Regions from separate parts of the Mus musculus genome. Here all the other regions are reported to be linked to region 2. The links are microRNA targets in miRTarBase. Many come from high-throughput screens and were not tested one by one. Region 2 holds a microRNA gene; each other region holds the end of a gene's coding sequence.

The links. Region 2 holds the annotated microRNA mmu-miR-539-3p (CAUACAAGGAUAAUUUCUUUUU, at 1,149-1,170, opposite strand). A microRNA usually pairs through its seed, bases 2 to 8, with sites in the 3' UTR of a target mRNA and lowers its output. Matches are read on the target gene's strand: a 7mer-m8 pairs with bases 2 to 8, a 7mer-A1 pairs with bases 2 to 7 and ends in A, and an 8mer does both.
Region 1: the mRNA of Nectin1 is a reported target of mmu-miR-539-3p. Seed matches in the 3' UTR shown: 7mer-m8 at 3,697-3,703.
Region 3: miRTarBase lists Zbtb8b as a target of mmu-miR-539-3p. Seed matches in the 3' UTR shown: 7mer-m8 at 2,162-2,168 and 7mer-m8 at 2,113-2,119.
Region 4: miRTarBase lists Cdk7 as a target of mmu-miR-539-3p. The part of its 3' UTR that is shown has no 7-base or 8-base seed match.

What each region holds. Positions count from the first base shown.
Region 1 is chr9:43,803,685-43,807,825 of GRCm38, forward strand. Nectin1 (nectin cell adhesion molecule 1) reads left to right here. Exons shown (of 6, transcript NM_021424.3): 6 at 1-3,777. The coding sequence ends at 332. Among named protein-coding and RNA genes, the nearest start is that of Gm46108, 15 kb to the left of the region's middle.
Region 2 is chr12:109,725,184-109,729,345 of GRCm38, reverse strand. Mir539 (microRNA 539) reads right to left here and starts at 1,217; the gene lies at 1,144-1,217. It overlaps Mir381 (microRNA 381), which reads right to left and starts at 2,524; the gene lies at 2,450-2,524. Mir487b (microRNA 487b) reads right to left here and starts at 2,013; the gene lies at 1,932-2,013. It overlaps Mir544 (microRNA 544), which reads right to left and starts at 21; the gene lies at 1-21.
Region 3 is chr4:129,424,141-129,428,302 of GRCm38, forward strand. It overlaps Zbtb8b (zinc finger and BTB domain containing 8b), which reads right to left. Exons shown (of 4, transcript NM_153541.3): 4 at 1,625-3,687. The coding sequence ends at 3,373. Among named protein-coding and RNA genes, the nearest start is that of Zbtb8b, 15 kb to the right of the region's middle.
Region 4 is chr13:100,699,832-100,703,993 of GRCm38, forward strand. Cdk7 (cyclin-dependent kinase 7) reads right to left here. Exons shown (of 12, transcript NM_009874.3): 12 at 1-3,675. The coding sequence ends at 3,647. Among named protein-coding and RNA genes, the nearest start is that of Cdk7, 29 kb to the right of the region's middle.

The DNA.
Region 1 (4,141 bases), not on the chromosome of region 2:
AGCATCACCCGCCCATGGCACAGAACCTGCAGTACCCGGATGACTCGGATGATGAAAAGAAGGCCGGCCCATTGGGCGGGAGCAGCTATGAGGAGGAAGAGGAGGAGGAGGGCGGTGGAGGAGGCGAACGTAAGGTGGGCGGCCCCCACCCCAAATATGACGAGGACGCCAAACGGCCCTACTTCACTGTGGATGAGGCTGAGGCCCGTCAGGACGGCTATGGGGACCGGACTCTGGGCTACCAGTATGACCCTGAACAGCTGGACTTGGCTGAGAACATGGTTTCTCAGAACGACGGGTCTTTCATTTCCAAGAAAGAGTGGTATGTGTAGCCCCGCCTTCTGGAGCCTCTGTCTGTGCCCACTTCTCCCAGGCCCCTACCCGCACGCCCCCCTGCCCACCCCCACAGCCCACTGCCCTAAACCAGCCCCAAACTCCTGAGGAGCCAGAGGAGCTCAGGGCAGACCCCACTTGGCTTCGTTTTTTTGTTTTTTGTTTGTTTTTTGTTTTTTTTTTTTTAATTTCCTCCCTCACCCACCCTTCCCCCTGGTGTTGTGTTCGACCGTGGCTTTGGTGTTGCTGTACCTTTCCTTTAAGGACCCCTTCCACTGCCCTGTGTGTAGGGAGCCCTGTTCTTGTCTTGTGTACTTGGGCATCCCTCCAGGGTTTGGGGAGCCAGTCCTCTCCCACCCCCCCACCCCCATCCCCCAACACTGGAATTTGTTTGTGTTCTCTCCGTTGGGAATGGAGGGCAAAGGGAGCTTCGAGATGGAGAGCACCCTCACCCCCACCCGATATGCTGCTCCTCTTCTCAGAAAGATGTAACCCAAGCCCCCACTAAGCTGATGCAGTCAGTGCACCTAAGAGGTTTTAGAGGAGTTCTCCGTGGTACCCAGGGGAGTCTTGTGTGGGGAATAATGGAGCTGAGGGTTCTGCTGGGGTCCTGGGCAGTGTGTTTTCCTGGTGAGGGTGGTTTTATGTTTTCTTTTTTTTTTTCTTTCTGGCCCCCCAAATGGAGTTGGCGTAGCTCTCATATACCCCTCTCTGTTAACGCCCAGTCCGTTCTGTACACAGTGGGTGACCCCAGGTGGATTCTACCCACAGTTCCTATATGCCTCTGCCAACATATGCACACATATCCATGCACACATCCCTGGGCCTATGCCAACCTCTCACGCCCTGCCCAGGCTGAACACTGCCCGAGGCCCAACCCTCTGCTCCACCTCTTACCCGTTCCCAGCTCAGGAAGGGATCAGCCCACAGAAGCATTCAGAGTCAGCTAGGATGAACCTCCCGCACCCACCCACCCACCCCCAAAGCCACTCTACAATTTCAGTGTAGCTCCAACCTTTCCTGACAATGTACATGTTTCTCGGATTTCTCCTTATCTGTCAAGTGCTAGCAACACTTGACTCTTCTGGAAAGTCAGGGCTGGGATCCCAGGAAGGAATGCGAGGCACAGAATTATTGAGACGGAGAAGGCTGCTTTGTGGAAACTGCAAACACAATTGAAGGGGGACTGCTAGCGTCTCATATGGGAAGGCTGGCCTAGATGTGTCTCGGGTCTCAAAGAAAGTGCAGGGGCACCGGGGACCTGCTGCGTATCCACAGACTGACCCCTGCTCACTCTCTCCTGGTGCCAGACTGGCAAGATGGCCGTGTAGAAGGGCCTTTGCATGCAGTCTCCCTCTTTGAATGGGATTCTGGCTTTGTCAGCCGTTCGGGGCTGGGCCTTCCCTTGAGTGCATGGAAAAAGGTCTCCCCACCCCACCTCACCCCAGCCCTCTGTCCCCAAGCTCAAAGTGCCTCGGTTTCTCCATCTGTGCCCCCAGATTACCCTCATTCTAAATGGGCATTCCCAGGGCCTGCCTGTCAGGATCTCAGCCAACTCAGCCCTAAGTGACACTCGCTGAGGGATCACAAACATTGGGGAGAGGGAGGCAGACCATTCTGTGCCCTACGGGCACTGACCCACCCTGCCATAGGCTTCCTAAGGGAGCCCCAGCCCACACCCCACTCCTCCCTGGTGCTGCTATTGAGTTCCCAGTCCAAGCGCCATCTCTGGCACCCCTTACTCAGCCCACCAGCTGGGGCTCTTCTGCCAGGCCCTCACTGCCCTAGTCCCAGCCCAGGCCGCCCAGTAGCCACGTAGCAGAAGTCTGAAGCCATGCCAGCCCTGGGGCGGCTCTCCGTCTTGGCATTGGGGACACTGGATGGGGTGAAGTTTGGGGAAGAAAATTCTGGGGCCTTTCTAGCCACAGGGAGAAGGAAGATGGAGGAGCTGGGCTGCTTCTCCCAGAAGTATTAGTGTCCTTTCCATGTCACAGCTCATCCTGTTCCTCATACCACTCTGCCCCTCTCCTTGGTCCCCCTCCCCCACCCCCAAGGCAGGAGGCAGAACCCTGACTGCCCCAGAGTGGTATTTCTGTCCCTATGGGGCCATAAGACTGAAAGACTCACCCTCCCGAGTCTCTCGCACCTTTCACGGTCATCCCCTATCCCCTGTCTTGTGATGGATCGAGGAGGCCCTGGGCCTGGACAAAGCACCTAAGCTCCCTGTACAAACCTGCACGCCTTTCCCCGAAGCAAAGCACAATTTATAGGGTCCATGCAGCAGGATCTAGGATCCCCAGCCGTGGCACTGAGCGCTTCCAGGCGGCCGCCACCTGGGCTAAGAAAGGACAGGAGTCAGGGGTCGGTAGCTGGACCCAAGGAGAAGGGGCTTTTCTTGCCCTGTGTTTGCGGGACAGTGGACACAGCCAGCTGACAGTGTGACAGAGCGGAGGGCATTTTGCTTCACCTTCATGCCCCCCCCCCCCAGCACAGCTGAGCTTCTGCCAGACTGCGGAGAGTAAACTTGGTGTGTTACCTGCCCAGACCCCTCCGGATGTCGTCCCTAGCTGCCCTCCCCCTCCTGTCCCTCCCCTGCCCCTGGACCCCTGTTTCCCTACAGATTTTGGTATTGTTCTGGTGTGCAACAACCCTCTGAGTCTCTTTTACCAGAAGGACCTGAAATACAGCAACACACAATTAGTGAACACACGCCCAGCACACCAACACACGCCTTCCACAGACCAAGCACAGGTGTGTGTGTGTGTGTGTGCACAAGTACACACATAAACGAGAAACCTGTATTAATTAATGCTCGGGCCCCAAGCCCTGGGAAGGCGCACCCTCTGCCAGCCACCCCAGCGTGCCCCAGTCACTGGTGCAATAACCTTCCTGCCATCGTCCAGGTGGGAGAATCAGGACTCACGTCAGGTGGGTGAGGCCACCCCTCTGAGCCCAGCAGACACTGCATCCTTTCCTGGGAGGAGGGGGGTGCTCCCAGGCCTCTGGAGGAGTCCAGGTAGAGACTTCCCCAAGCCTAACTGCCAACTGAAACCCTCTCCTGGTGAGGGCAGGTGGCTCCAGCTGACCTGGGCCGGAGACACCGAGAGGTGAGGAACCAGCCTCGCTGATGCTGCTTTCTGACCCCAGCTGTGAAGAGTGGGCTGGGGGGAAGAGGGTGACTTTTTTTTTTTTTAACAAATGGAAACAAAATCCAGGAGAAGCTGCCACCCTCGCCTGAGTGTGACTAAGCTTCCTTTGCTTCAGTTTCTATGTCACTGTTTTCCTCTTTGGTCCTGGGGACAGCCCAGCAGATTCCCCTGGTCCTGACCTGGAGGGGGGGAGTGGTTGCCCCGCCCCCTTTTACTTGTATTAAAAAAAAAAGATGGGTTGAAAATGTACTGAGAAAAAAAATGTACTTTTTTATAAATAAAGTGTTTAAAACAAGCCCAAGTGCCTCTTGTCACTGCAGTGGGGTGTGAGCAAGAGAAGGAGACAGACAACCGGACAGCAGGGACGACAAAGGCCAGAGTATCTGATTCTATGATAGGGACTCATTGAGGGGCCACATGGCCACCTTGCGGGCTTCAATGGAGCTATCCCAGGAGACATGAGCTGCGCAGGGCACAGGGGGATGGATGGCTGGCATCTGCTGGCCAGGGCCAAGGCATGGGGGTGTGGGGCAAGAACTGGATGACAAAACTGCACAGCTGAGGAAGGAAGGGCTGCTCCGGCTAGAGTCACAGGCAGCCCCTGCTCCAGAGCTCTTATGTCAGTCACCACCCCTCCCTAGGTCGCTCTCCTCTCGCTC
Region 2 (4,162 bases):
TTTTAACAAGATCCCTAGGTGACGAATATCTTAGCAGCGTTGAGCAGTTTGAGAGGCCCTACACTAACCAACAATTTGTACAAGCATGCATGCAGGCACACACACACACACACACACACACACACACACACACACACACACACCAGATTATGGAATGAGCTGAAATGGTATGCTATTGACCAGGTATGTCTAAGAAAAAGTCAGCCCAAAGGAAGCCATAGGAACAGATAGAGAGTGACTTAAGGCAGCGGCGGCGGCAGGAAGTATCCTTATTAACACCTGTATTAACCACAGGAAGTCTATGCTCAGAATGGATGCTGAGGAGAGTGGGTGCTGGACCTAGAAGACCCTGGCCAAGTTCTGTCTACCTAAAGAGATGCTTGACCCAGTACCTTCTCAAGGAGTTCCTCTGAACTAAGACTTAACAGCAACAACAGACAGGTGAGTTATTCTCAGTGTTCTCCAGACCAAGCACAAAGAAGCAAGCCACCAAAGCTGTTGCCACCTCAAAGCTGTCACTGTGAGAGTACATGGGGGGGGGGGTGCCTTCTGAGGTTACTCTGCCTCAATAAATTCTCCCTCTCCTGCAGCAGGTACCAATGTCCATTAGCTGAAGTCACCACTGTGCTCTAGGACCTTCGGAAGCAAATCCAGATATGGGGCAAACAATGGTCGTCCCAATTAATCTCCATAAATATGGCGAGCACACTATTGATAGCCACCCTGCAAATGTCAGAGAACCACCGCACCGAGAAAAACCGCAGGACCTCCTCTCACGATCCAGACCAGACAGCTCGCCGGCCTCTGTCATTCAAGCACATGCTTGTGGAACCAGTCACACTCTTGAGCAAGGGGCCGGGGCCTGACCCCAGTGACTATCTGTGAGATTGGCTGCCCATCCAAAAAAAAAAAGAACGATTTGCCAAGTCATGAAAACTGTGCTATCTCACCATGACCAAGCCACGTAGGAACCCCTGGACTCTTCAAGCAAGATCCTGACTTGGGATCAGAGTGTAGCTCTTACACATCAGTTCTGTGCTCTCTTGCCTTGTGCCCAGGTAAGGCTAACCCATGCATCATGCACCAGGCACCTCTTTAAACAACCGTCTCGTCATCCCGGAAGTCCACCAGGGCAGTATTTGATACTCAAAAAGAAATTATCCTTGTATGATTCATCCAAAAGAGCCAACACACCAAGGATAATTTCTCCTCAAGTATGAAACAGTAGCACAGCAGGAATACCAGCATCCATAGGCCTCTTGGGAGTGATCACCACTCCTCACACGTGGCTGCACCCAATACATACATGCACCATGCATGCAGTACTACTGATGGCCATTCTAAGCACCAGGGAGGTGAGAGGCTATAGAAATGACTCCCCAGGACTCAGCATGACAACCTCACGTTAGCCTCTTCTAAGGGTAATGGTGGCTGGGGTCAAGAAGCCAGGCAGTGTCCATCTTAAGTGGAGCAAGCATTGTGGGTGGCCCTGCTGACCCCCGGCATGGGGTCTTCTGTTCTAGAAGCTGCTACAGAAATGATGTCACTGCCGAGTCACAAGCACCACCTTGTAAGTCCAGCACAAACTCTAAGCTCCAACACCCACTCACATGACTGACAGAGAATGTCTGTCTCAACATGGGCTCCCAAATCCAAGGAGAGGTTTGTATATCACCATCATAGCTGCCAGCAGTCAGCTCCCAGCAGACAAAAGTTTGGGCTGGCACATGGTCAATAATGAGCCTAGTCCCTACAAGAGCCTGATCTCTCCCAGCCCCCGAGAGCCATATGCATTGGACCCCAAGAGGACTCGCGAGTGACACACGAGACAAGGAGCATAACACGGCGACACCCTTGTCCAAGGATGTGTGATGGGAAGTGGCAGTGGCAGGATCCAGGCGCAGGAAGCCAGGCTGCAGAGTCTGCGCACTTGATACTGAAAAAGTGGATGACCCTGTACGATTCGGCATGAGTGAAGCGAAGAGGACAGGGATAACCACTCTCCAAGTACCAAAGCTCGGCCTGGAAAGCAAAGCCACCGCCTCAGGTAGACGTGCTACGTCTTCCAGGTAGGGTCCTGGGGACGAATTAGACGCTGAGCGTTAGCAGACTGGGTCACACACACCAAGCAAGAACATGCACACTTGGGTACCACGGCACGGCAGCACATCAAAAAACAACGGCCCACACCAGCACAGACCTGACCATCAGCCTGGGAAAGCAGGGACCCAGGCTACACACAGAGAGCATGCTTTGGGACCAACCCATATGGACAAGGAGAGGGGATGTACCCGAGGTCTTTCCTGAAGTCATCTTGCGCCCATGAAGCCGTTGGTGCATAAAGGAAACCCAGGAAGCAGTTTGTCACACACAAGATGGATACACACGGTCATGCACACACATACCACATCCCTCGCTGAGTGTGGACGGGATCCAAGATAAGGTTTGATACTCACAGAGAGCTTGCCCTTGTATATTCCATGTCAATAAACCGAATATACAAAGGGCAACCTCGCTTTAAGTACCAAACAATAGCATGGGGCAGGTTCCGCTCTAGCATTCACGGGGTCAGCCTCGTCTCCTGGGACTTAGCCTGGGGAGGGATGATGGGAGATTCGGAATCAGCCAATTACATGGCAAACACCACCTGCCAGATGTGTGCCCACTGGTCAGCTCTCCATCCAAGGAGCTTGGGCTGGGACAGATACTTGGGGGGTGGGGGGGACCTTTTTCTGATATTACTGGCAGATGTTACAACAGATTGAGATTTTCACTCTCTCAGGAAATACAGAACTCAGATTTTTGCTTTCTGTAGGTAAACCCTGGTTAGGACTACAATCTTATCCTTAGCACTTTCTCTATGATGCCCACCTGGCTGTACACTGCACACAGAGGACAGGAGGACCCCAGGAATTTATAGAAGTGATTAAAGCCAATCCTTTCTGCCTTCCCAGTAACGGGTATCAGTGTCACTCCCAGGACCGGACCCTGCCCCACTAATTCTGCCCGATAGTGGAATGGGACAGAACTAGAAGGAAGTTGATGCCATACAGGGGTCAAACTCCACATGCCACTGAATGATGGAACCATCTTTCCTTTTTGGGACCTCTTCCCCAGAAAAGAGCAGGCAGGAATGGCCACAGGTTTGCACTGAATCATGGCAAGGAAAAACACTCACCTTTTTTTGACGGGATGGGTTGCTTCCATAGGTGCGGGCTGTTAAAACTGCCCCCTTCTGATCTAGGTATAGCCACAGAAGAACACCAGATAGACCGCACGGAATGGGAAACTTCAGCCTCTTCCCAAAGACAGACACCACTTCCAGGAAGTCCTCACTTGGAGAGGGGTGGACCAGGCCTGAAATCATTATAAATAAAGATGTATAAACCAGTACTTGTATCAAAGCTGGGATAGTCTAACATCATGCTTTATCTTCTAAGGTGAATGCTGTGAGCAACAAGGCTCTGGAGATGGCTTGGTACAAACAGACGGCAGGTCTGAGGGCCACTGTCTTTTAACAAGCAAGCCACTGTTGGGTGATTATGTTCAATGCAAGTGCAACAGGCACCACAGTACCCTCTCCCACCCTCAAGAGCAAAAGATCAGGCACCAAGAGGACAAGGAGGACCAGAGACTAATAGCTTAGCCAAAGGTCCCATCTTAGAACCAAGAATTGGTACATACCCGAGAAAGTCAGAAGTCACGTTGTATCAGGAGACCTGACCCAAAGATGGAACAGGGCTGGAGTAGTTCCCAGATAGAGTTAGATGTGAGGACAAGTGCCTCTTGCAGTCTATTACCATCAATAAAGAGAACATACCGGAGGCTATCCTCTTTACATGAACCAAGAGTTGGGCCAGGGAACAGTGAAGCACCTGTGAGCCTGGGCTGAGCACAGGGGCTGGTGAAGCAAGCCTCAGCTGGCTGGCTCTGGAATTGGCTGCATACTCTGCACACTGGTACCCAGCCCTAAAGTTAGTTTACTTCTCAGTATCACTCCAAAACAGGGTGATCTTCCAAAAGACTAGGGTGGGGCATGGGAGGATGGGCATGGGGTGGGGTGGGGGTGGGGATTCTGTGTAACTTAACAAAAAAGTGACAGAGAATGATTGGCATTCCAGAGCCTGCAAAGCCACCCTGGCAAGAAAGCCTCCACCTGTGC
Region 3 (4,162 bases), not on the chromosome of region 2:
TGAGTGTGTACATCTGAGAGTGCAGGTGACCACGGAGGTCAGAGGCATCAGCTATTCCTAGGGCTGCAGTTTCAAGCAGCTGGGATGCTGGGAACTGAACTTGGGTCCTCTGTGAGAGCAATAAGAGCTCTTAACCACCACACCATTATGAAGTAGAAATTTCTGGTTGTGTCATGTGATGCAGCCTCACGTGATATTTTGCTGAGGCAAGACCCAGGAGAGGACACATGATGTTTGGAGAGAATATAAATAGGACTCAATGGAGGAGACAAAGTGCTTGCACAGCTACACTCATGCAACAAACACTCCCTTGGCATTGCATCTTCACTAATCTTCCCTTTATTGAGAGAAAGATGGCATCCCAGCTGGTCCCGGTTGCTTCCAATGACTCCTGCCGATTCAGCAGAGGCCTGGCAGTTTCTGCTGGATTGTGCCACTTCTGACACTTTTGGACTGGTATCCTGACAATGGGAATTGGAATCACCCGAAAGAACTAGTTCTAAACAGGCACACATACCCTTGTCCTATCACCTTCTTTTCTCCCCTACCTTTGGTGGGCTAGAAGGGGAGGCGAAACGTTTGAGTACCCTTATTAAAATACCCTTATTAAAATAGGTTTTGAAAAACCTAAGCCTATACCATCTCTCTAGCTTTTCATTTTTATTATTTATTTATTCATTCATTCATTCATTCATTCATTCATTTCTACTTTATTTATTTATTTATTTATTCATTCATTCATTCATTTCTACTTCATTTATTTATTTATTTATTTATTTATTTATTTATTTATTTCAGACAGGCCCTCGCTGGCCTGGAACTTGTTATGTAAACCAGGCTGACTTCCAACTCACAGAGAGCCCCCTGCTTCTTTCTGCCTCTGGAGTGCTGAGCACAGCTGGACCTCCAGTTAAAGGTGTGCACCATCATCCCTGCCAATACAACTTCTTAAGTATCCCACCCTGGCCTTGAACTTGCTTTGTAGCTGAGACTGACCTTGAATTCCTGATCCTCTGCCCTCCTCTTCCCTAGTGCTGGGATTCCAGTTGTTTCCTACCATACCTGGTAGGATTTCTAAGTTTCTATGTCATAACACCTACACTAGGCATTGGGCAAACTGTGAAACATCTGGACTCAGAAGCAGAACCCAAAATTAACATCATTCAAAACCCCACTTTATATCTAGAATTTCTCAACCTTGGTACTATTGTTTTTATATCCCTGGCTGTCCTGGAACTCACTTTGTAGACCAGGCTGGCCTTGAACTCAGAGATCTGCCTGCCTCTGCCTCCCAAGTGCTGGGATTAATAAAGGCATATGTCACTTAGGCCTGTGTGGTATCAGTCTTTCTATGATGTGGCTGTCTAGGTAACTACACCTCAGATGGCCCATGCCTTGTTCAAGGAAACAAAGTCTAACAGAATGCGGGCATCACAGTAATGTAAAAGTGTCATCAGAGTCTCAGGTACAATTGTTAAAGTACAACTGAAATATCTTTCCATCCACGGGTGGGGACTAAGTCAGTAGAGAGTACTTGCCCAGCATGGACAAGGTCCAGGATATAACACCTACTACTATGAAAACTAAAAGATCTTTCTTTTCTTCCTTCCTTCCTTCCTTTCTTCCTTTCTTTCTTTTTTATAAAGTTGACAATTTTAAAATAATTTATTTTATTGTATTTTATGTGCATTGGTGTGAGGGTGTCAGATCCCCAGAACTGGAGTTAGAGACAATTGTGAGCTGCCATGTGGGTGCTGGGAATTGAACCAAGGTCCTCTGGAAGAGCAGCCAATGATCTTAACCATTGAGCCACCTCTCCAACCCTCATGCCGTCTTTCTTCCTTTAAAAAAAAAAAAAAGGCTTTTTTTTTCTTGCAGACAACACAAATTTAGGTATTTGTTTATTGCAGTACTAGAGATTGGACCCAGGGACTTCCTAATGACAGACAAGGAGCTGTAACCCTAGTCCTGCCAGGGGAGGTGGCGCATGCCTTTAATCCCAGCCCTTGGGAGGCAGAGGCAGTCAGAACTTCAGGAGTTCAAGGCCAGCCTGGTCTACATAAGCAGGTTCCACAGCAACCAAGGCCCCCCCCAGAGAAACCCTGTCTCAAAATACAAGCAAACCAACAAAAGCTTCCACTCTTTAATGACAAGACAATACATACAAGGCAGTTTATAAATGATTCTCACTAGGTATTGTTCAAGAGGCAGAGAGACCTGGTGATTTCACTGCTGTTTGAAACTGTGTTAAAAGTAAAGGAAGACAAGGGATTTCTTTTAAAGTCCACTTCAGATGCTTTTAAGAAAAGTCTGCAAGCTACCTTCTAGTGCACCATTCATCCATGGTCTTTCCTGTCCTTTCATACTTTAGAGACACTCGACTTGCTTTGCTACAGTTGTGACCTGGCTGCAGAGTGGGTGAAAAGCAGACCGGCTTGAAACCTGTTCTACCCAGCTCCTTCCTTCTAGGTGGTCTTCTAAAACCTGAATGTTAGTTAGGCATGCATGTCTCCCCTGCAGTTCAAGTCTGGGCATAAACTAGGTGGCAGGATGTCAGGCGGGACATGCATGCCCAGGAATGTCACGAGGGTGTGCATATCCAGGTTGCATGTCTGGGAAATGACTAAGCAGCCTTTTGATTTTTGCCCAAACGACTTGCTTTATAATCTGAGAATAGGGGATTTGTGTGTACGGAATTGTCAAATAGCAGAGTAGACGGGGACAGTACTCTGCCCTGGCTCACTGGCTCTTCTCTGGGGGCTCATTTAACTTAACTCAATCTAGGTGGGCAAGCAGCGGGCCCAGAATAAACTTGCAATTTGTGTCAGTGTTTGTCTGCATAAAGCTTCCTCCAGCCTTTAGGCATATAGTCTTAGATTTAGGGAGTACCTTTTATGACCACGTAGTTAGCCCCGCCTGCTTTTTATCGAAGCAGATTCCCAGAAAATTAAATGTGGAGTTCATTTCAAGAAGCCTGGCAGGGGAGAGACAGAGGTTCTGACAACATACTCTTGCCACCTCTTCAGAAGACTGTAATGATGTAAGAACGTAAAAGACCAGCATAGTGCTAAGCTGGGAGGTTTTCTTATTTATCTCCGGCCCAGAGTCAGCTTCTCAGCAGGAAAATTAGGAAGTCTCGGGGCTCAATCTCAATTCAGTCAGTACCAAGGAGACGTCAACAAAACTCTCAAGACTCCATGCTAAAACGTCATCAGTCTTTTTGAGTCACAACATCCAGCCTTCGTCTAACAAAAAAATCCAAGTGTAACGACACTGTGGGGAGATGATCCCCAAGTCTCACAGAACTCGACAAATGGTAGCTTTCACAGTAGAACAAGCCACAACACTTAAAACCTTCCCACCGAGTCACTGCTACGTAAGTGTCTCTGGGGCTGGTAAGTTGGGCCGAATGTGTGGCTTGTCGTCAGAATCCTCCGCGGTTGGGTCATTCTCCTCACCAGACTCTATGTAGATGGGCCAGTCATCTGTGTCACTCTTCTCGTGGCTTTCAGATGAAGCCTCCACCAGGCTAAGGTTGACAGGCATCAGGTCGTCCTCTTCCTCCTGGGGGTCTGTGACACAGGTGCAACTGTCACACAGCCCGAAGCGCCGCAGTCCTTGGGACAGGTGGCTCGTAAAGGTTCGTCGACAGCCTTTGCAGATAATTGGACGGCTGGATCTGTGGACCTGCCAGCACAAGGGGACACCGTAAAGGTCAAAGAAAAGGCTGGAGAGGTGACTTAGCAGCTAGCAGTACTTGCTGTGCAAACGGAGGCAAGTTACTCTCCTGCCTCAGGGTATCAGTTCTGGTGGGAAACTGGGGATACAGCTTACTCTACGTCCTTACCAGGGGAAGAAACTCACAGTCTGCTGGCCCTGCCAATTCTGGCCTCATGACGGCCATCCTTGAACAAAAGCTAGGCTTCTTGGAAAACTGGCCTGTTCGCACACCGGCATTAACTTTTTTCTTTTTTCTTTTTTTTTTCCGAGACAGGATTTCTCTGTATAGCCCTGGCTGTCCTGGAACTCACTCTGTAGACCAGGCTGGCCTCAAACTCAGAAATCCTCCTGCCTCTGCCTCTGGAGTACTGGGATTAAAGGTGTGCGCCACCACACCTGGCTAGCATTAACTTTCTAAGTGCCGCCAGCTTGGCTTTAACCT
Region 4 (4,162 bases), not on the chromosome of region 2:
AAACCCAAGAGTTAAGCCAGCCGGTGGTGGCATTCGCCTTTAATCCCAGCACTCAGATCTCTGAGTTTGAGGCTAGCCTCATCTACAGAGTAAGTTCTAGGATAGCCAAAGCTACACAGAGAAACCCTGTCTTAAAAAGACTAAAACAAACAACAACGAAGAACAAGCATTAGCGTGATGGAGCATGCCCATCATCCTAAATGGGGTCCTTAGGAGGATAAGTTCAAGGCTAGCCTGAGATAACCTGCTTAGGCATGTAGGAAAGAAAGAAAAAAGTTAAGCCTAGAGGTAACAGCACCAAAAGCCTGGGCAACAGGGCACTCTATTAGGACTAAGAGCTGGGACTCAGGCTGTGGCTCAGTGTGCATCAGTTATGTGCACAGCCCTAGGCTTGATCCCAGCACCAAACAATTTCTAAGAACTATAAGAAGGCCATTTGGTGGTGCACACCTTTAGTCTCATCACTTGAGAGGTGAGGGAGGTGAGCTCTGAGTTCAAGACCATAGTGAGTTCCAGTACAGCCCTGTCCAAAACTACAAACACTGTGTGAGCTTGGTAGCAGATTCTGCCTAAAACCTCTGTTGTGGTTTGAATGTGAACTGTTCCCCGCAGGCTTAAGTGTCACTCTGTCTGGGTCACTGGGGTAGGCTTTAAGGCTGTCTAGCTCCACCCTACTCCTGTTCATTCTCTGTATCTGAGTACAAGGACCGTGCGACCAACCAGCCTCCTCCACCATGGTGGACTGAATTTCAAGGGAAATCCTAAGGCAAAATGAGGCCTTTCTCCTTTAAGGCGCTTTTGTCAGAGAACTGTATCATAGCAACAGAGCAACAACTGAGCCGCTCAGAAGTTAAAGATACACTACTCCAGGGGAAGCAAGCCAGTAAGGAACATCCTTCCATGGCCTCTGCATTAGCTCCTGCTTCCTGACCTGCTTGAGTTCCAGTCCTGACTTCCTTGGTGATGAACAGCAGTATGGAAGTGTAAGCCGAATAAACCCTTTCCTCCCCCAAAAGAAAAAAAAAGATACACTACTCTGCCAAAGACACCCCAAAACCAGTGAGTATAAAGAGGAGCATGTATCTGCACTCCCGGGGCTCTACAGTAAGGTCAAAGGGTCTCTGGAAACTCATGGGCAAGCAGAGTGGCTTGACATATTTCCCCCAAAAACACTGGCAGAAAAAATTGACACAAGGTTGTCCACTGACATACATGTGCTGTGGAGTGAGTGCACACATGCATGCTTATCAAACACACAAAAGATAAAATAATCACTGTGCAGTTCTTAAAGCATGAGATGATGGCTAAAAGATGGGTCATTGTAGCTCTCGCAGATGACCCAGGTTTACCTAGAACACAATCACATAACTGTAGGAGACTGCCACCTTCTGAACTCGAAGTACCAGCACACATGTGACAAGCAGGCAAAGCACTCATCCACATAAAAAGTTAATAAAGAGAGAGATTAAAATTTTCCTGTGGGGGCCAGGCGTGGTGGCGCACGCCTTTAATCCCAGCACTTGGGAGGCAGAGGCAGGCAGATTTCCGAGTTCGAGGCCAGCCTGGTCTACAGAGTGAGTTCCGGGACAGTCAGGGCTACACAGAGAAACCCTGTCTCAAAAAACAAACAAACAAACAAAAACCAAAATAATTTTTTTCCCTGTGGGGAAAAAGATGCCTATTCAGCCCCAAGGACGAGCACGATGCTGAAGTCTGCATAACCAACCCTGTTGATCCTTATTTCCCCAGCTGTTTCCCTTTAGAGCTAACTTTCTGGACCAAGCCATTCTGCCTTAGCACTTTTTCTTTACTTACTAGTCATTCCTAATATAACAAGTAGTTGTCTTTATTCATGAGACGGGGTTTTATGGTATATCCCTGGCTGCCTGAGAATTTACTTTTTAGACCAGGATATCCTCAAACTCATAGATACCTCTCTGCCCCTGCCTAGCTCACCCAGCTCAGTAGTTGATTCTTAACAGGTTCTCTATGCCTTTGTGAGGCTCCCATGCCAAAAACTATTCTTGTTTTGCTTTTTGAGATGGGTGGGGCTTGCTTTGAGGACAGACTGGCATAGAGCTGTTTGTAACTGGGCTGGCCTTAAATCTGAGGCAGTCATTACTCAGCCTGACAAGGATGAGATTATAGGCACGAGCAGCCAAACCTGGCCCCATGCAAACGGGTATTACATAATTTTGTAAAGTTTTTCTTCTATGAGTTTTGTATCAATCATAATTTTTGAATCCCCATAAGACTCAAGGAGAATGCAGAATAGGAGTGAGGTTTTGCTCACCCAAAGGTTCCATACAGAAAGTTCATGTGCAGTGGGAGAGGACTCAGTAATTAGGCACTGGCTGCTCTTTCAGAGGACCTGGGTTCAATTTCCAGCACCTCGTGGTGGATTATAGCCATCCAAAATTCCAGTTTCAGGGGATCCAATGCCATTTTCTGGCCTCCTTGGTCACCAGGAATGCTCATATGGCCAACACCTTGTCCCCTTGTTTCAGGCTTGCTTGACACTTGTAAAGGAGTTGAGCCATGCTACTTAGTTACTTTAATGTGTTACAGTGCCAGGTGTTCATAGATGGTAGGACATACTCTACCACCTTTACACACAAACTGGTCCTCACTACGTAGCTCTGGAGCTCACTCTGAATCCAGGCTGAATTCAGAGAGATCCAACTGCCTCTACCTCCCGAGTTTGGACAGGGACAAACCACCACTATGCCTGGCGATTCGTGCCATGTTCATGATAAAATTTATACAGCAATAAAAAAATAATAGTCCATAAACAAAGCACAGGTAAATTACACTATTTATGTACTATATTATCATATGGTAATTAAATCAACTCAATTTAGATCTATTAATATGGAAAGAAAGTTTCTAAGTAAAAAACAGAAAGCAATAGTATGAGCTATAGTAGGATTATTTTGTTTATTTATGCTTTTTGAGAGAGGACCTTACTGCGTAGCTCTGGCTGGCCTGGAGCTCACTATGTAGACCAGGCTGTCCTCAAACTTAGAGATCCACTTCCATACATGCTAGGATCAAAGGCATAGGCTGCCATAAGGTGAGATGGAACTCTTTGAAGATAGCAGTACAAAACCATGGAAGACAAACACAAATCTCCCCGAGGCCTCTTCCTTGGGGGAGGGTCAAAGGAATGGGATGAGCAGTGCCAAGGTCCTGGCTGTGCGTGCAGGAGGAGCGTAGTGAGTTCGAGATGACAGGACATCAGGGAGGCGTCAGGGCCATCTTTTCAGGGCTTACTCTGGGTAGTAAGTAGGCTAAAGCTCTTGCAAAACTGCTAACAGTATTGTTTTCTGTTTTCAATACTATACCTAATGATCTTAAAGTGGCAGATCACCCAGAGCTGCAGAATAACCAGGAATCGCATGCCAAGCCTCTCCCAATGCACTGTCAATTACATTTTAGAGACTGCAGTTATCCTTGTACTCTAATCATAAATCACAAATATTTATTGTAAAATACATTTAATAAAAATAACCCGTAGTTTTACATATTTTACATCTGTAGAATATTTACAAGTTCTCTCTTATAGCATTTAATATTCACTATTTTTTCCATTATTTGCCTTTGGATCATTTATTTCAGCAGTGAAACTGTCCATTGTTCGCTGCAACTAAAAAATGAGCTTCTTGGGCAATATTCCTGAAAGTAAAACAGAAAGGTTGTTCACTCACTGTACTCCAGAGCATTATCTAACTTACAGGCATTGCTAACCATTAACACAGAGTAAGAACCGCTGGGCAGAGGGCAGGAGAGCTGGCTTGGCAGTTAAGAGCACTCACTGCTCTCCCAGAGGACCTGGGCTCAACTGCCAACAGCCACACAGCAGCATGAAGCATCTGTAACTCCAGTCCCAGGAATCTGATGCCCTCTTCTGGCCTTCACAGAGACTGCACACATGTGGTACAGACATACATGCAAATAAAATATTCATACACATAAAAGTAACAAAAAATTTCAAAATAATACAGTTAAAAACAAAGCCATCTGGGTGTGCTGAACATGTACTTAATTCTAGCATTCAAGAGGCAAAGTTCAAAAAGGCCAGATTCATCTAACTACTGCGTTCCAGGCGAGTCAGGGATACACAGTGAGACCGTATATCCAAGGGGGGAAAAGTTGGCTCAGT